Arabidopsis thaliana: one gene and its partners. The protein of the gene in region 3 purifies or fractionates together with the protein of the main gene of each other region. This does not show direct contact. Each region holds a gene or a part of one and is shown on either strand. Other genes may lie near its edges.

What was found.
Region 1: the proteins of UAP56b (region 3) and AT3G12915 fractionate together in Arabidopsis thaliana (co-fractionation; one large-scale study listed by BioGRID). This does not show direct contact.
Region 2: the proteins of UAP56b (region 3) and LOS1 fractionate together in Arabidopsis thaliana (co-fractionation; one large-scale study listed by BioGRID). This does not show direct contact.

What each region holds. Positions count from the first base shown.
Region 1 is NC_003074.8:4,109,146-4,115,584, forward strand, and holds the start of AT3G12915 (Ribosomal protein S5/Elongation factor G/III/V family protein), read left to right. Parts: upstream 1-3,688; coding exon 3,689-3,691; exon of another isoform or gene 3,692-3,793; coding exon 3,794-3,881; intron 3,882-4,011; exon of another isoform or gene 4,012-4,127; coding exon 4,128-4,843; coding exon of another isoform or gene 4,844-4,904; coding exon 4,905-5,427; coding exon of another isoform or gene 5,428-5,526; coding exon 5,527-6,439. Other genes in the region: AT3G12910 (NAC (No Apical Meristem) domain transcriptional regulator superfamily protein), read left to right, coding at 272-479, 674-987, 1,114-1,503.
Region 2 is NC_003070.9:20,968,868-20,975,306, reverse strand, and holds the start of LOS1 (Ribosomal protein S5/Elongation factor G/III/V family protein), read left to right. Parts: upstream 1-3,564; 5' UTR 3,565-3,641; exon of another isoform or gene 3,642-4,195; 5' UTR 4,196-4,229; coding exon 4,230-4,232; intron 4,233-4,312; coding exon 4,313-4,400; intron 4,401-4,621; coding exon 4,622-6,439. Other genes in the region: AT1G56080 (interactor of constitutive active ROPs protein), read left to right, coding at 105-350, 443-488, 577-655, 761-850. UniProt on the Arabidopsis thaliana protein: Catalyzes the GTP-dependent ribosomal translocation step during translation elongation.
Region 3 is NC_003076.8:3,564,571-3,571,009, forward strand, and holds the start of UAP56b (DEAD/DEAH box RNA helicase family protein), read left to right. Parts: upstream 1-2,604; 5' UTR 2,605-2,682; intron 2,683-2,799; 5' UTR 2,800-2,818; coding exon 2,819-2,931; intron 2,932-3,148; coding exon 3,149-3,249; intron 3,250-3,707; coding exon 3,708-3,880; intron 3,881-3,983; coding exon 3,984-4,215; intron 4,216-4,294; coding exon 4,295-4,413; intron 4,414-4,582; coding exon 4,583-4,625; intron 4,626-4,744; coding exon 4,745-4,780; intron 4,781-4,864; coding exon of another isoform or gene 4,865-4,905; coding exon 4,906-5,003; intron 5,004-5,099; coding exon 5,100-5,156; intron 5,157-5,249; coding exon 5,250-5,434; intron 5,435-5,539; coding exon 5,540-5,684; intron 5,685-5,770; coding exon 5,771-5,854; intron 5,855-5,949; coding exon 5,950-6,013; intron 6,014-6,105; coding exon 6,106-6,116; 3' UTR 6,117-6,439. Other genes in the region: SHN2 (Integrase-type DNA-binding superfamily protein), read left to right, coding at 406-485, 992-1,481. UniProt on the Arabidopsis thaliana protein: ATP-dependent RNA helicase involved in pre-mRNA splicing. Required for the export of mRNA out of the nucleus. In addition to ssRNA and dsRNA, binds dsDNA, but not ssDNA.

The DNA of each region.
Region 1 (6,439 bases), on a different chromosome or scaffold from region 3:
GCGTCCTAATAATGCGAAAGGTAAAAGCGTCATATTTATTGGGTCCACGTATAGATGCGAAAAGACTCGTTCTAAAAACTCAAGCCCAAAAGACTTTTACCGGGTCGGATATATCATTGATTACAAAGGATCACTAAGTCAACAGAAATGACTTGACCAAATCGATCTTATGATAGATAGACACACGACACAAACTCTCTTTATATAAATCTCAAGAAGATTCTTATATGTGAGTCCAAAGAGCAAAAAGGAAGAAATAGAAACCAAAGCCATGGAGAAGATGATAGAACCACGGGACAACACAAGAGAATCAGAAGATGAGGATGCGTTAAAGCTTCCAGGGTTTAGGTTTCATCCGACGGATGAGGAGCTTGTAGGGTATTATCTCTCTAAAAAAGTGCTTCTCAAAAAAACGAGCAAGATTGATGAGATCGTCAGCCAAATTGATATCTATAAATTTGATCCGTGGGATCTTCCAAGTAAGTTTGTTTTACTCACTCTTGCTTTTTTCTGTTTTTTGCACTCCAAACCATGCAAACACAAATAGAAAAAAAATTAGGTCTAACTTTTATGAGAAAAACAAAAGTAAAGTCGTGTATGCATGTTTGTGAAGTAAAATTAACACATAAATTATTGTTATAAACTGATGATCAAACATAATTTTTGTTTGAAGGGTCGAGGAATACAGAGAAGGAGAGCTACTTCTTTTGTAAGAGAGGAAGGAAATACAGAAACAGCATAAGACCGAACCGAGTGACTGGTTCCGGTTTCTGGAAAGCCACAGGGATAGACAAGCCTGTCTATTCCGATGGATCCAACAAAGCCGTGATCGGTCTAAAGAAGACACTCGTTTATTACCTAGGAAGCGCCGGGAAAGGAAACAAGACGGATTGGATGATGCACGAGTTTCGTCTCCCTACAGCCAATGACACAATCCCCGGTGGCCCTACACACTCTAACCCTACTCCAACTTCCTTGCTACACGCGGTAAGTTTGCTATCTCTTGATCATGATCATGCATGGTTGGCCACTATAAACGCTTCACATGGCAAAAATACATAGGGTTTGAGAAAGAATGCTCATGGATGGTTCTTATTAACTATATAATTGCAGGAAGTATGGACGTTATGCCGGATATTTAAGAGAACTGTGTCTAGTCGAAAATACACTCCGGACTGGAGAGAATTAGCAAATGGCAAACGTGTGAAGCAGCAACAATCTAATTACCAAGAAGCTTATATAAATTTTGGGGACAATGAAAGTAGTAGTAGTACCAACGTGATGAACGTTAGGGAAGGCAAAGGGAACTACGAGAGAAGCGTTTTCCAGCTTCAGCAAACGCCTTATCAACATCAAAACCAGCCAATTCTCATGGACACCACACACGTTGATTCGTTTCAACATTTCTCCAACGATAACATTCACCATGAAACCTACGAGACTTGGCCGGACGAGCTTCGATCGGTTGTGGAATTTGCTTTCCCACCTTCTTTTCTTAGTTAGATCTCTAGAATAATTAACAACTAATATGTATACATATTACATATTACTAGCTTGGACGTGTTGTATCATCAGATCTCTACTGTATACATGGATCGTGTGTATATGAATATGCACCTGTTTGAATTCTCAGGTTGATCCACACGTATATAGTATGTATTAATGTCAATTTAATCTCGGGAACTATTTGCATATTTTGTTTTATTAGCCCTCTTATTTTATGTTTTTCGGTTAGACGAATAGTGGACTTGTGGTCTTGTTATCTTTAATAAAGTAACAAAAGCGTTTAAAAAAACATTAAGAAGCCCACAAAGGAAACAAAGCCCATTAGGTGGAGGAGATGAAACGATGGAACTTCTTGTCTTGTCACGGATGAGAGAAATATTGGAGAGAACCATTGGAGAGAAAGCAGAGTTACTTGCCAATTTCGAATTCTGAGAGCGAAGAGCCGAGATTCTGTTTGTAGTTTGGATGATGAATACGATTGTTCATGTTCCTTTTATCTCCAGATTTCGTAAATTCGTCAATTTAAGAGACGATTAGCTCAGTTTACAATCGAGTCAGTATATATCGAATTAAACTGCAGAGGTTTTGGGTGTTCCCGAGACATGACTAGGATATGGTTCAATAAACAGTTGGAATTGGCGTGAAAATTGTAGATAGGTTAAGCTTTATACTTCAAATCATGCAATCGAGTAGTCTGATATCATTTTACTGACTGATTCCACTGGTTATCCAGTAGCCAACTATGTACGTGTGATTGATTGTGTAGTAATTTCCGTCTTGTACTTTGTAAGTTGGGTTCTTATTCTGCTGCATTTGGCTATTCCGTGTCTGATGACCTTTGTTTTTTCCTTTTGCAGCTTTGTTAGAGTCTCATTTAGATCCATGTCTCTTTGCTTTAATTGGTCACAATGCTTCTTCTGGTTTTATTGCAGCGGAAACGGTTTATTGAACAAACGAAGACTCTTTATGGTATGAATTTCCTGGCATCTGTTTCAAGTTTACTTTCTAAAACCTGGAAGTTCGGCACATGAGCAGTTCCTTTTAGAACAGTTTGTTTACTTAAACCTTTGACGCCCTTTTGTGTACTGGTATAAACCTCCTGCCTCTTCTCTCATCTGTTTCAGGCTTCGATTCCACCCTTCATATTACAGTCGCAATTACAAACTAGTGTCAATGAGAGAACCCAATTCGATCAGAGGTATGCTTTCTCTTCTTGACAACAAGTAAAGTAAACAGGGTTTCTGTTTCTCCACTTCCTTTTATGGTTTTGGTTTTGAAAAGTGAAATCTTTATGTGAAAGTTCCATTTTTTTGTTTTAATAGGATTTGAGATTAATGAGTAATTTAAAATAAGTGAGCCTATTTAGGCCCTAAAGACAAAAAAAATCCTAACTTTTTGTCTTTTTTTATTAAACTAAAATATCAGGGTCATGATTTACAATCTTTATTTTTTCTTGATACTTTTCATGATTTTAGTTTGTAAAAAAAAATGTATAAAATCATAAACCAATAACACCATAATTAAAATCATTAAGAATCATAGATTCATTTGTTTTAGTTTAATAACATCAATTTTTAATGACTTTATTAAATTATGAATCTAATAACTCAAAATTTATGAAGACTTTAGATTATTTTGTATAAATCAAAATCTAATAACACTAACTGTTAACAGAATCTTATAAAATCTTAATTTAATTACACAAGATTTTTTATAACATTAAATCGCTAAAAATTTATATAAATCGTAAACCAATAATACCCCCTAATTTTTTTAAAAAAAATAGGATTTCAGATTAATGAGTAATTTAAAATAAGTGAGCCCATTTAGGCCCTTAAGACAAAATAAAACCCGACAGAGATTCTCTGTGTGAAACCCTAAATATTAAAATCAGAAGGCAAAGGCACTTTCTTATAATATACAGAGAGTAACGCTTCTGCTCATCTTTTCACGTCCAAGGCTGCACCCGTACTCGCTCCAGGTTGGTTAAGATTTTAGTTTACCTTCGCTCCCTCTTCTTCTTCTTCTTTTCCCATTTATTAATTTTTTACAGATTGTTGATTCTCTCTTCTTCTCTCTACTGCTGATCTATGAATTCTAGTATTATTTTCCGATAATTTTCTTACTGTCTCTTCTTTCTCTGCAGAGAATTTTGTAGGCGTGAGGAAAAAAGCAAGTCAAGATGGTAAGCTTTTTTTCTTTTCTTTCAGAGTACTATTCATTTATTTTTTGTGTAGTGATCTGCCTTGTGTTTTGTTTAACACGTTTTTGTTAAAAAATCTTGCAGGTGAAGTTTACAGTTGAAGAGCAACGGAAAATTACGGATCGTAAACACAACATCCGTAACATGTCTGTCATCGCCCATGTCGATCATGGTATTTATCTCTTTAAAAATTGTTCGTTGTATATGAATCTCATATCACTCTGTTTTTATGGCTTATTGATGTTAAAGTATAACATAACATAAAAAAACGATTTTATTTTATATATCTTTTATTTATATAGTTCTGTTTCTTTTTTGTTGATGAAATATTTGCTCTTTTATACATATGTTTGCTAAGCATGTGTTTTTTCTATCAAACTTGATACTAAATAAAAGTTTTGTGATCTTTTAATGATAGGGAAATCTACACTTACGGATTCACTTGTTGCTGCTGCTGGTATCATTGCTCAAGAAACTGCGGGTGATGTGCGTATGACTGATACTCGTGCTGATGAGGCAGAACGTGGTATCACCATCAAGTCCACTGGTATCTCTCTCTACTATGAGATGACTGATGCGTCTCTGAAGAGTTTCACCGGAGCTAGAGATGGCAATGAGTACCTGATCAACCTCATTGACTCTCCTGGACACGTTGACTTTTCTTCAGAGGTCACAGCTGCTCTCCGTATCACTGATGGTGCTCTTGTGGTTGTTGACTGCATTGAAGGTGTTTGTGTGCAGACTGAGACTGTGCTCAGGCAATCTCTTGGTGAAAGGATTAGGCCTGTTTTGACTGTCAACAAGATGGACAGGTGTTTCCTTGAGCTTAAGGTTGATGGTGAGGAGGCGTATCAGAATTTCCAGAGGGTCATTGAGAATGCTAATGTCATCATGGCCACGCATGAGGATCCTCTCCTCGGTGATGTTCAGGTTTACCCTGAAAAGGGGACAGTAGCTTTCTCTGCTGGTCTCCACGGATGGGCTTTCACTCTCACCAATTTTGCTAAGATGTATGCTTCCAAGTTTGGTGTCTCTGAATCTAAAATGATGGAGAGGCTGTGGGGTGAGAACTTCTTTGATTCTGCAACCAGAAAATGGACGACCAAAAACTGGCTCCCCGACCTGCAAGCGTGGGTTTGTTCAGTTCTGTTATGAACCCATTAAGATAATGATCAACACTTGTATGAATGATCAGAAGGATAAGCTGTGGCCGATGTTAGAGAAGCTTGGTATTCAGATGAAGCCCGATGAGAAAGAGTTGATGGGTAAACCTTTGATGAAGCGTGTCATGCAGGCATGGCTTCCTGCGAGTACCGCTCTTCTTGAAATGATGATCTTTCACTTACCATCACCCTACACTGCGCAGAGGTACCGTGTTGAGAACTTGTATGAAGGTCCCCTTGATGATAAGTATGCTGCAGCTATCAGAAACTGTGATCCAGACGGTCCTTTGATGCTCTACGTCTCTAAGATGATTCCCGCATCTGACAAGGGCAGGTTCTTTGCCTTCGGTCGTGTCTTTTCTGGTACGGTTTCTACTGGTATGAAAGTCAGGATCATGGGTCCTAACTATGTCCCTGGTGAAAAGAAAGATCTGTATGTCAAAAGTGTGCAGAGGACTGTCATTTGGATGGGTAAGAAACAAGAGACAGTGGAGGATGTTCCTTGTGGTAATACTGTTGCTATGGTTGGGCTGGATCAGTTCATCACCAAGAATGGTACCTTGACGAATTAGAAGGAAGTGGACGCACACCCGCTTCGTGCCATGAAGTTTTCTGTCTCTCCCGTTGTTCGTGTTGCTGTGAAATGCAAGCTAGCGTCTGACCTTCCCAAGCTTGTAGAAGGTCTTAAGAGGCTGGCCAAGTCTGACCCTATGGTTCTATGCACAATGGAAGAGTCTGGTGAGCACATTGTTGCAGGTGCTGGAGAACTCCACATTGAAATTTGTGTCAAGGATCTTCAAGATTTTATGGGTGGTGCGGATATCATAGTGTCAGATCCTGTTGTTTCGTTACGAGAGACAGTCTTTGAGAGGTCTTGCCGGACTGTGATGAGTAAGTCCCCAAACAAACACAACCGTCTTTACATGGAAGCCAGACCAATGGAGGATGGTCTAGCAGAGGCCATTGATGAAGGCCGCATCGGTCCATCTGATGACCCCAAGATCCGATCCAAGATTCTTGCAGAAGAGTTTGGGTGGGACAAGGATCTTGCCAAGAAAATCTGGGCGTTTGGACCTGACACCACAGGGCCCAACATGGTGGTTGACATGTGTAAGGGAGTGCAGTACTTGAATGAAATCAAGGACTCAGTGGTTGCTGGGTTCCAATGGGCTTCAAAGGAAGGTCCTTTAGCAGAGGAAAACATGAGAGGGGTCTGTTATGAGGTGTGTGATGTTGTGCTCCATGCTGATGCAATCCACAGAGGATGTGGTCAGATGATCTCAACAGCAAGAAGAGCCATCTATGCATCACAACTCACGGCCAAGCCTAGACTTCTTGAGCCGGTTTACATGGTCGAGATACAAGCACCTGAGGGAGCTTTAGGAGGAATCTACAGTGTGTTGAATCAGAAGCGTGGACATGTGTTTGAAGAAATGCAAAGGCCAGGAACGCCTCTCTACAACATCAAAGCCTACCTTCCTGTGGTCGAGTCATTTGGTTTCTCAGGTCAGCTAAGGGCTGCAACCTCAGGACAAGCCTTTCCTCAGTGTGTGTTTGACCATTGGGA
Region 2 (6,439 bases), on a different chromosome or scaffold from region 3:
GTAGCAACAAAAGAACATACGTTAGTCCAGAAGACTTGTTGATGTTTTCAATATAATGAAGAACAAAAAAAAACATTTTCAATGTGTAATGGTTCATGAAACAGGTTTAAGTGAAGCGAGGCAAAGACAGTCTATGACTCCGCAGTTCTCTCCCGCGTTTACACCAAGCGGAACACCAAAGATCTTATCTACTGCTGCTTCTCCGAGAAGCTACTCTGCTGCTTCATCGCCAAAGCTATTCTCTGGAGCTGCATCTCCAACATCTTCACATTATGATATACGTATGTGGTCTTCAACTAGCCAGCAATCTTCAGTAGCAAACTCTCCTCCACGCTCGCATTCTGTTTCAGGTTCACAACTTTAAAGCATTCTAATATGTTGTCTAAATTTATATCATGTGATTTGTGGCTTTGTTCTTATCCTCTCACTTGATCTTATACAGCTCGGCATCCGCGGATTGATGGGAAAGAGTTCTTTAGACAAGCCAGGTATATATAAGTTCTAAAGTTCCTAGAGCCAGCAACTAGTATATGAGAATGAGTGATAGATAGATAAGGAATTGTTTTGAATTTTCAGGAGCCGTTTGTCTTACGAACAGTTCAGTGCATTCCTGGCTAACATCAAGGAACTTAACGCCCGGAAGCAGGGCCGCGAGGTAATAACCTCATAAGCCATAACATAGTCCTTAACCAACTCTTTTAGTCTGAAATTTGTATAATGTTTGAATCCTAAAATGGTCTTATCTAATCTTTATCGCCAGGAAACATTACAGAAAGCAGAGGAAATATTTGGAAAGGAAAACAATGATCTTTACATATCCTTTAAGGGACTTCTCACAAGTGGGCGTTGAAACAAAAACTCACCAACTTCTAAGCTTTCTTTTCATGACCAATTAGTCATGACTGATTTCAAATTTGTAAAACCTCTTTAACCATAGAAGAGAATCAGGGAATTTTGTTCTTGCAAGTCCCAGTTCTTTTGCTAAGACTAAGAGTTTATATCTTTATTAGATATTAACCCGCGGTATACCGCGGACCTATATTTTTATTAAATAAAAAATAATTGAATATTTTTTAGGATGATTTAATAAATTTATGCTATTGTTTGATTTAAATGTATAATTCACCGCTAGACGAAATTTTATAACTCAAATTTTAAAGTTTTAAGTTGTATTTGTTTATTTTGTTAAATGTTTAATATTGTATAATTGTATTTTGATTGTTGTTTCTCGGATTTCACCCGTAGTACACCATTCCATATTAATATCGAATCAAACCCGTCAATTCTATGATTTCACCTGTGGTAGTATTTAATTGTATAATTATATTTTAATTGTCATTCTATGATTTCACTCCTAATTCTATCGCAAATTATTATCAACCCAAACCAGACAATTCTAAAATATTCCGTAGTACACCATCCCATATTAATATCGAATCAAGCCCGTCAATTCTAGGATTTCACCCGTGGTAGTATTTAATTGTATAATTATATTTTAATTATCATTCTAGGATTTCACTCCTAATTCTATCGCAAATTCTTATCAACCCAAACAGTCAATTATAAAATTTCACCCGTAGTATAATGTTTAAATATTTATAATGTTTAAATATTTATAATGTTTAAATTTCTTATAAAAGAATCAAAATGTGTTTTAAAAAAATTAAAGTTTTAAGTTTTTTTTTTTAATATTGTTAATTTTGTTTAGTGTTTAAGATTATATAATTATATTATGATTGTTATTATATGTTTTTTTCCATAGCATACTATCCCATGTTATTATCCACTCAAACCCGTCACACCATATAACCCCGTCCCGTGAAATTAAACACAAATTTGTCATTTTATTATAAATTTCAAATATTTATAAAATTAGAAACTTCAAAAAAGATTAATATTGACCCAAACTTCATCATTGAATTTTGAGTGTTATATCTAAGATTTCTCTCGCAGTATATCGTCCCGTATTAATATCTTTTATATTGTTTAAATTTCTTGTAAAATTTAATTTATAATTTTTTAAACTTTTTAAAGTTTCAATTTTTTAAAATAAATAACCCTAGTAAACAAACCATTTTAATTTTGGACACCTCATAAATCAAGTTTCATGCTCATTCGTAATCGAAATCATTTTGGTCCTTTTTATAGTATGGCTCTTGACCATTGTCCAATTTTTTTAAGCGATGTGGGACATTCTAAAATCGTAATTATTATCCACCCAAACCCGTCCTACCATATAACCCAGTCACGTGAAATTAAACATAATTTTGTCATTTTCTTATAAATTTCAATATTATAAAATTTGGAACTTAAAAAAATACAATATCGACCCAAAATTCATCATTGAATTTTGATTGTTATATTTAAGATTTTTTCTGTAATATATCGTCTCGTATTAATAAATTTTTTATATATTTATAATGTTAAATTTCTTGTAAAATTCAATTTATAATTCTTAAAACTTTATAAGTTTTAAAATTATAAATATTTAAAGCATTTTTTAAAGATAAACTTTATAAAAAAATTTAAAATTATAATATTTAACTTTTGATAAAGTTATAATATTTATAATTTTTTGAGACATTTTAAAGTTTCAATTCTTTAAAATAAAAAATCCCAGTAAAATCGGATAACTATTTTAATTTTGGACGCCTGATAAATCAAGCTTCCTGCTCATTCGTAATCAGAATCATTTTGGTCCTTTTATAATATGGGTCTGAACCATTGTCCAATTTTTCTAAGCGATGTGGGACATTGTACACATATTATTTCTTCATAGGTTGAATAATATATGTCCATTTAAAAAAATTAGAATTACATCATATTCAGAAAAAAATATAATATTTTATTAATTATATATATTTTATATAAATTCAAAATAAATAAAGTATAAGATCAAATAAAATTGAAAGAAGAATTATATATTTATGTTTAAATTAGGTAGAAATATTTTAGGAAATTAGTTAAGGTAAATAAGAAATATGGTTAGTTTAGAGATATTGTTTATATTAAATTTGGTAATTAAATCATTAATTTTCGTTTTTAATTATTAGTTTTTAGGTAACTTTTCCAAAAATTAATGTTATCTAAGATCAGAACAGAATTAAACATGTTATCCAGAATCCGAACAGAGTTAAACCGGGTAAAACCCACCCATTTGAATTAATTGTTGAATTATGGCTCAAATCTTCAACATTATCTTCAAAAATCCCCTCCAAAAATGTATATATAGATAACGGAAACAAGATTAATGTATCATCATTCATTCCTTGTTGATTTAATTAAACAGATGAACAAATGATATGTAATAATAAGGTCTCGGTTTACAGTGAAAGTGATTTAATTTAGTATCTTTGTTACTTCGATTATTGAATTGAGCGTGTGTACTTATGAAGATTAAATCGATGATGCATGGGCTCATGAAGATTAAAAAACTCAATAGACACTTAACCAGAATTAATGATATTGGCCCGATGAGTATTGGCCCATTAAGGCCCATTAAGAGAGCGAAAACCCTAAACGAGAAACAAGGGATATACTCAGAGCATCTTCCTTGGTTACTATATAATAAGCTTTAGGCTGCTAGACGCCTGCCTCCTTGCACCTCTTTTCTTTCTCTCGTTCTCATCTTTCTCTCTAAGGTTAGTCCCTTGTGTAGATCCTCTCTTCATCGATTCAATTTCATCTTCCTTGGTTTGATTTAGGAATTTTGTCACGATTTGGTGTTTAGATGATGGAGTCTTGCTGTTGATCTATGTTTATAGCACTTTGTTTCCATGGTTCTGTTGTTTCTTACCGTTTGTTGTGCATCGATCTGGTTTTGGTAGATCCCTCGTAGATAATAATCTGAATATGTCAAAGTTTTCTTACAAGTCTGTTGTGTTTTCAGTTTTGATTGATATTGTTATCCATGTAGTAGTCGATCATCCAAAAACTGGTTCAGTGTGATTCTCCGATCATCGCCGCTGATTTTATATTTATCATCATGTATAGATTTGCAGGTTTTATTTTGTTCGTTGTGTGTTTTTGTTCTTTGTTAAATTTAACCTCTATGCATTTGATGTACATGTTTTTGTGTTGGTCTCAGTTTCTCTTATTCTGTATAAGCTAAGCTAAAGTCTCCATGGTTAGTGTCTGTTTAGTATTAAAATATTTCAATTTGCTAATTCTTTATGTTTTTGTGATGATATTGCAGAGATTTTGTAGGTGACAATCAAAAGTTTGACAAAATGGTAAGACTTTTGTTTTTCTTACATTTATTTACATTATTACTATGTGGATACAAGCATATAACGATTTTATGAACTTGCAGGTGAAGTTTACAGCTGATGAGCTTCGAAGGATTATGGACTACAAACACAACATCCGTAATATGTCTGTTATTGCTCATGTCGACCACGGTATAATCTTCATCACTTTTTTTGTACTATTCTTGTCAGTTTTGATCTCTTGTTTGTTTACTGAATTTGCTGGTCGAATTGTAATCTGAATCTAATGCATCTCTTTATATACTAATGTTTATAGTCTGTTTTGAAATTAATAGCGTCTCTTATCTGTTTTCTGAGTTTGCTGAACGTTTAAAAAAGTTTAAACTAATGCATCTTTATTTCATGATCAACAGGGAAATCCACTCTTACTGATTCTTTGGTTGCTGCTGCTGGTATCATTGCCCAAGAGGTTGCTGGTGATGTTCGTATGACTGATACCAGAGCTGATGAGGCTGAACGTGGTATCACTATCAAGTCCACTGGTATTTCTCTCTACTACGAGATGACTGATGAATCCTTGAAGAGTTTCACTGGAGCCAGAGACGGAAACGAGTACCTCATCAATCTTATTGATTCACCTGGGCACGTTGACTTTTCTTCTGAGGTTACTGCTGCTCTCCGTATTACTGATGGTGCTCTTGTGGTGGTCGACTGCATTGAGGGTGTGTGTGTTCAGACTGAGACTGTTCTACGTCAGGCTCTTGGTGAGAGGATTCGACCTGTCTTGACTGTCAACAAGATGGACAGGTGTTTCCTTGAGCTTCAGGTTGATGGTGAGGAGGCTTACCAGACTTTCTCGAGGGTTATTGAGAACGCTAATGTCATCATGGCTACATACGAGGATCCTCTCCTTGGTGATGTTCAGGTTTACCCAGAGAAGGGAACTGTGGCGTTTTCTGCTGGTCTCCATGGATGGGCGTTTACACTGACCAACTTCGCCAAGATGTATGCTTCCAAGTTCGGTGTTGTTGAATCTAAGATGATGGAGAGGCTCTGGGGTGAGAATTTCTTTGACCCTGCCACCAGGAAGTGGAGTGGCAAAAACACTGGTTCCCCGACCTGCAAGCGTGGGTTTGTTCAGTTCTGCTATGAACCCATCAAGCAAATTATTGCTACTTGCATGAATGACCAGAAGGATAAGTTGTGGCCTATGTTGGCGAAGCTTGGTGTCTCAATGAAGAATGATGAGAAGGAGCTTATGGGTAAACCTCTAATGAAGCGTGTTATGCAGACTTGGCTCCCTGCAAGTACTGCACTACTTGAGATGATGATCTTTCATTTGCCATCTCCCCACACTGCCCAGAGGTACCGTGTTGAGAATCTGTATGAAGGTCCTCTTGATGATCAGTATGCAAATGCCATCAGGAACTGTGACCCCAATGGACCTCTCATGCTCTACGTATCCAAGATGATTCCAGCCTCTGACAAGGGTAGATTCTTTGCCTTCGGTCGTGTCTTTGCTGGTAAGGTTTCTACTGGTATGAAGGTCAGAATCATGGGTCCCAACTATATCCCTGGTGAGAAGAAGGATCTGTACACTAAGAGTGTTCAGAGGACTGTCATTTGGATGGGTAAGAGGCAAGAGACAGTGGAGGATGTCCCTTGTGGTAACACTGTTGCTATGGTTGGGCTGGATCAGTTCATCACCAAGAATGCTACATTGACTAATGAGAAGGAAGTTGATGCTCACCCCATTCGTGCTATGAAGTTTTCTGTGTCTCCTGTTGTTCGTGTTGCTGTTCAGTGTAAGGTTGCGTCTGACCTTCCCAAGTTGGTTGAGGGTCTCAAGAGGTTGGCCAAGTCTGATCCTATGGTTGTGTGTACAATGGAGGAATCAGGTGAGCACATTGTTGCTGGTGCAGGAGAACTCCATCTTGAGATTTGTCTTAAGGATCTTCAGGATGATTTCATGGGTGGTGCTGAAATTATCAAGTCAGACCCTGTGGTCTCCTTCCGTGAGACAGTTTGTGATAGATCTACTCGCACAGTTATGAGTAAGTCTCCTAACAAGCATAACCGTCTGTACATGGAAGCAAGACCCATGGAGGAAGGTCTAGCTGAGGCTATTGATGATGGACGTATTGGCCCAAGGGATGACCCTAAGATCAGATCCAAGATCTTGGCTGAGGAGTTTGGATGGGACAAGGATCTTGCAAAGAAGATCTGGGCTT
Region 3 (6,439 bases):
GAAAGTAACGTTAGAAACGAAGGTACGAGTCGTGTCTTCACTAGATTCATTCTAATAAAGTAAGGAAGTTGTATTCATAAATAAAGAATAGATATCTATTGATGTTACGTCCCTCACTAAGGCTTGTGAGACAAAGTAGTGGGCTCAAATATCTTAATTACCAACGTGAATCGAATTTATATAGATCATCGAAGAAAGGTCAATTTACAAACAAAGAGAAACTTCAAATTAAGGCCCTATATAAATAGTTAGTTGGGGACGAACCACAGTAGGATCAGGGACTATATCAGTCTCTATCTTTCTCTCTCTCTTCTGATTGTCCGAGTTGTGTCTGCTAAGAAGAGAGAGAAACTTAAAACCCTAAATTTCAAATCAGAAAATATAGAGTTTGAAGGAAACTAAAAGATGGTACATTCGAGGAAGTTCCGAGGTGTCCGCCAGCGACAATGGGGTTCTTGGGTCTCTGAGATTCGCCATCCTCTATTGTAAGTAATTGGCTCTCTATATACATATATGATCTCCATTGTTTACTGTTTTCCTGCTTAGGATTACATATTATATAATGTTGTAGTTGCTTTTCTCATATGAAGCTACTATCTTTATTCTTTAGTATATTTCATCAAAACTTTATTTGTATATTAAAACAAACGCTCTACTATTGCTTAACAATCTACAAAATATTAAAAGGAATTAAAAGTTAAAACCAACCATGCATGCTAATCAAAGTTAAGTTATCGACTGATTTTCATCTACTTGATTCTTTGATTATTTTTGTAAATTAAATGTGGTAATTTCTAAGGTTAGTTTGGATTTCAGCTCAAAACTTAATTGAAATGTTTACTTGGATTTTGTAACTAATATAAAAATTACTAAAATCCTTTTTTAACGTGAATGTTATATGATACCAAAACGTTAAAAATTATATTTCAAAATTCATATCATCATATGTAGTGTATTTAGTATTTACACGTGTGTGTGATATATTAATCAGGAAGAGAAGAGTGTGGCTTGGAACTTTCGAAACGGCAGAAGCGGCTGCAAGAGCATACGACCAAGCGGCTCTTCTAATGAACGGCCAAAACGCTAAGACCAATTTCCCTGTCGTAAAATCAGAGGAAGGCTCCGATCACGTTAAAGATGTTAACTCTCCGTTGATGTCACCAAAGTCATTATCTGAGCTTTTGAACGCTAAGCTAAGGAAGAGCTGCAAAGACCTAACGCCTTCTTTGACGTGTCTCCGTCTTGATACTGACAGTTCCCACATTGGAGTTTGGCAGAAACGGGCCGGGTCGAAAACAAGTCCGACTTGGGTCATGCGCCTCGAACTTGGGAACGTAGTCAACGAAAGTGCGGTTGACTTAGGGTTGACTACGATGAACAAACAAAACGTTGAGAAAGAAGAAGAAGAAGAAGAAGCTATTATTAGTGATGAGGATCAGTTAGCTATGGAGATGATCGAGGAGTTGCTGAATTGGAGTTGACTTTTGACTTTAACTTGTTGCAAGTCCACAAGGGGTAAGGGTTTTCATTGTTTTCCGGTTTTTAATATTTTTAAAAAGTTTATTATGTGATGGATTTCCTTTATTTATCGATTATACATGTAAGAAAATTGTCAAAAATACATGTAAAAAAATGTAATATATACAGATTTGTATTTTTTTGTGTGATGAAAGTATACATGCTTGTTGTATTGATTGATATAAAAGATTGTTCGATTTAAGTATTCTCTTGTTTTAATTAATGGGCCTACAATTTTGTTGGTCCTTCAAACACAAACATATATACATATACATTTTTGCAGCCACTTTGTAAAATAAACCTCAAGTTGAGACTTATTTACAGTGGCTGCCACTGGCATTTAATAATTATTTTTGATAATTAGAAAGTAAATCTTCGAATTAAATATTTGACATTTAACTATATTCCCAAAATCTCTCTACATTAACTACACGATTAGTTACTAAAATAAAACTTCCAAAATATTTAACATCATTTAAAAATTACAAAATTATCATTTTTGATATTGCTTTTTTGCATGACTATAACAATTCGATTATACGCATCAACCCACAGAGATATTTGATAGCAATTAATTATTACAAAATTACAAAATATTTAGACAATGATTCATAAACATATCATAAATAAGATCAATATTAATAAAATAAATAGTTTTTTTTACGGGACGGATTGGCGGGACGAGTTTAGCAGGACGTAACTTAATAACAATTGTAAACTATAAAATAAAAATATTTTATAGATAGATACAATTTGCAAACTTTTATATATACTAACTTAAAAAAAAAATATTGTCCCCTGCGGTATAAGACGGGTTAAAAATCTAGTTGTTATTATTAAAGGAAATAAAATATCCTCATAAAACAATTTGTTGTAATCTATCTTTGGGCTAATGTTCTTATCCTACAAGACGAACCCTGACCGTATTCGTCGTAGAAAAAAAATTGCTTCGATCCCATCATTGAGTTCAATAATCGGCGCACAAAGGCCGATTCATAAAAACTCTAGGCCCATTAAAGTAAAGCCCATTCTCAACCCTATCCAGTCTCCCTGTATATATATATTTACGACACCAACCCAGCGTTGATATTTAATTTTCTTCAGTCAGAGATTTCGAAACCCTAGTCGATTTCGAGATCCAACTAACTCTGCTCCTTATCTCAGGTAAAATTCTCGCTCGAGAACTCAATTGCTTATCCAAAGTTCCAACTGAAGATGCTTTCCTACTGAATCTTAGGTTAATGTTTTGGATTTGGAATCTTACCCGAAATTTCTCTGCAGCTTGTTGAATTTGCGAAGTATGGGAGACGCTAGAGACAACGAAGCCTACGAGGAGGAGCTCTTGGACTATGAAGAAGAAGACGAGAAGGTCCCAGATTCTGGAAACAAAGTTAACGGCGAAGCTGTGAAAAAGTGAGTTTTATGGTTTCCTCGATATGTTTCATGTATACTACTGTGTGTTTAAATTTGTCGATTCTTAGATTACTACTTGATAACAAGTAGCAGTATGTGTTTAATTAGTTGCTTAACATATAACAATTGACTGAGTTCTTCATTGCTATAATTCCTGAAACCCACCCAATATTAGACTGTCGTGTGTTTCTCATATTGTATTTTCTCTTTGTGACAGAGGGTACGTGGGAATACACAGTTCTGGATTCAGAGACTTCCTTTTGAAACCGGAGCTTCTCAGAGCTATTGTTGACTCAGGATTTGAACATCCATCTGAAGGTAATTACCAATAAAAATTCAATTTTGTTGCCTTTCACCATTCTATTACTGAATCTGAATGATATGGTAGAATTTACAGAAGTTTCTTCTCCATAAGCTTTTTAGGTGTCCGGAGACTTTTAATTATATGTACTTCGTCTAGTTTTGAGAAGATATGTTGGTTTAAGATATTTTACTTTATCTGGGTCCCTTGCTTATCACCTAACTAAGTCCAAAATCCAAAAGTTTTGTGTTGATTATAAGGTTAAATTCTTCTTTAGTTTCCTGTAATAATTTTTTTTAGTTTTCTGTCTATTAACGTTTCACTGATTACTTTTTCCAGGTAATAAACGCTAATTTCGATCTATTGATTTGGAGTGAGCTTAACATGTGCTAAAGCCACCAATTTAAAAGATATGGAGGTTATCATCTACTTATAAAGGGTTTCTTCGGTGCTATTTTCTTTGGTTCTCCACCAGTGCAACACGAATGTATCCCTCAAGCTATCTTGGGTATGGATGTTATCTGCCAAGCAAAGTCTGGTATGGGGAAGACTGCTGTGTTTGTCCTGTCTACTCTACAACAGATTGAACCATCTCCTGGCCAGGTTTCTGCACTTGTCTTGTGCCATACAAGAGAGCTAGCTTACCAGGTATGACCTTCTTGTTTCACTCAGGTTCTTGGCTTATAGTCGTGTTTTACGTCTTCAAGTTCTCTAATGCTTACTATGCCTTGATGCTGAAAATTACTTGCAGATCTGCAATGAGTTTGTGCGATTCAGTACCTATCTGCCTGATACAAAAGTTTCGGTGTTCTATGGTGGAGTCAACATTAAAATTCACAAAGACTTGCTGAAGAATGAATGTCCTCACATTGTTGTTGGTACCCCTGGTCGAGTGCTTGCACTTGCCAGGGAGAAAGATCTCTCTTTGAAGAATGTGAGGCATTTTATTCTTGATGAGTGTGATAAAATGCTCGAGTCACTTGGTATGCTGATTTCTGACATCATTATTACATCGATCCCTGAATAATTTTATGTTTTAACACTTCAACTTGTCTTTACCAGACATGCGAAGGGATGTGCAGGAGATTTTCAAGATGACTCCTCATGACAAACAAGTAATGATGTTCTCAGCAACGCTCAGCAAAGAGATACGCCCAGTCTGCAAGAAGTTTATGCAAGATGTAATGTTCCATGGCCAATTCTCTCTCCCTTTGCAAGTCTTCTAGTTTTCATCTATTTTTAGCCTTCTATGGGTGATCATAGCATTATTTGAGCATCTTCTGCGGTTCTGCCCTTGAAAAGCTGAAACTGATCTCTGGATGGGTCTCAATCCAATAATGCTTTGGGTAGTTTCTAGAGAACGAGACTGTGAGTGTGAGACTCTTTAGCTTTGGTATGGTTTCTATCGGTGATCATAGCATTATTTGAGCATCTTCTGTTGTTCTGCCCTGGAAAAGTTGCAACTGATCTCTGGAAGGATCTCAACCTAATAATGCTTTGGGTAGTTTGTAGGGGTTGAGAACTCTGAGTGGAGACTCTGTAGCTTTGGTATGATTGAGTGACCGTTGCACAACAGGATTTCCTTTCATCTTAACCTTTTATTCAGTTTCAATTTCTTTGAAAATCTAGCAGTGGTGGGTGGGTTTTGGGTCGGGGTACTGTGTTTTCCCAAGGTTTCATCGTGCTCGTATGGGTCTCAATGTTCCGAGCAATATTGATGTTTCATAGCAAAACTCACATCTTTGAAGAGAAAAGGTGGACGAGGATCTCAGTTCAGGGGATCTCCATCCATCTTCACTTTTGTAGTGTAAATCATTTCCTGAGGAAAGCTAGCTAATACTTCTTACCTGGTATCTGTTCCTTTCAGCCAATGGAAATATATGTTGATGATGAAGCCAAGTTGACTCTTCATGGACTTGTCCAGGTACGTTTAACTGGTTTGAGGTCTTCGTATTCAATGTAAATATATGTTGTTGTTTGATACTTAAGTGACCTTTTTTCTGTTCTACTGTAACAGCACTACATCAAACTGAGCGAGATGGAGAAAAATCGCAAGTTGAATGACCTTCTTGATGCGTTGGACTTCAATCAAGTTGTCATTTTTGTGAAGAGCGTGAGCAGGGCTGCGGAGCTGAACAAGTTACTGGTGGAATGCAATTTCCCCTCAATATGCATACACTCTGGCATGTCTCAAGAAGAGAGGTTTGTACATTCTCTTAAAAATTCAATGTTTCTGAAGGACCCTACCTGCTCTTAAAGCCCTCATGGAGAGTCCAATTCTTAAGCCTAATACGATATGTTATGTAGGTTGACTCGATACAAAAGTTTCAAGGAAGGGCACAAGAGGATCCTTGTGGCGACTGACTTGGTAGGAAGAGGGATTGACATAGAGCGTGTCAACATTGTTATCAACTATGACATGCCAGATTCTGCGGATACCTATCTTCATAGGGTAAGTATATAATCCTGAGATTTATTATTTGATCGTTGATGAAAGGGCTCTTGTAACTTTACCGTTTTGCTGTGTGTATGGGATAGGTTGGGAGAGCTGGTAGATTTGGAACCAAGGGTCTTGCAATCACATTTGTTGCATCTGCTTCAGATTCAGAGGTCCTTAATCAGGTATGGTGTTTGATCTTTTAATAAATTCCATGGAAAAAGTCCCCATGATATTGAGTTGGGTATTTAGTAAAGTGGCAAGTATAAATGTTGGACAGGTTCAAGAGAGGTTTGAGGTCGATATAAAGGAGCTTCCTGAGCAGATTGATACATCGACTTACAGTAAGTTTTAAATCCCATTACTAAATGTGAAAAAGGCTGGTTTTGTCTGGTATTGATATTAACTTAGTTTCTTCTTCGTATTCTTTGCTCAGTGCCGTCTTAAACAAGTAGCATCATCTCTGAGGAACGAACCTCTTCAGATTTCAACCTTTTAGGTGTTCAAAGGGGTCATGGAGGTCCACAACTATCTCTCACACCGTTTGTTGCTTCGCTATTTTAGACTTTTCTATGAGGACAAGTTTTTCCATATATTTAGACCGTTTTGTAACTCTTGAAAAATGAGATTGAGCTACTCTCCAAATCGCGCACAGTTGAGAGCTCTCCTGTTTTTTGTACTAGTGATGGTTATCTTTAAAATATTAAGATTTCAGGATTTATTCTTTGGCTTGATCATTGATTAAATGTTCCTAGTGAATTGATCTAGTT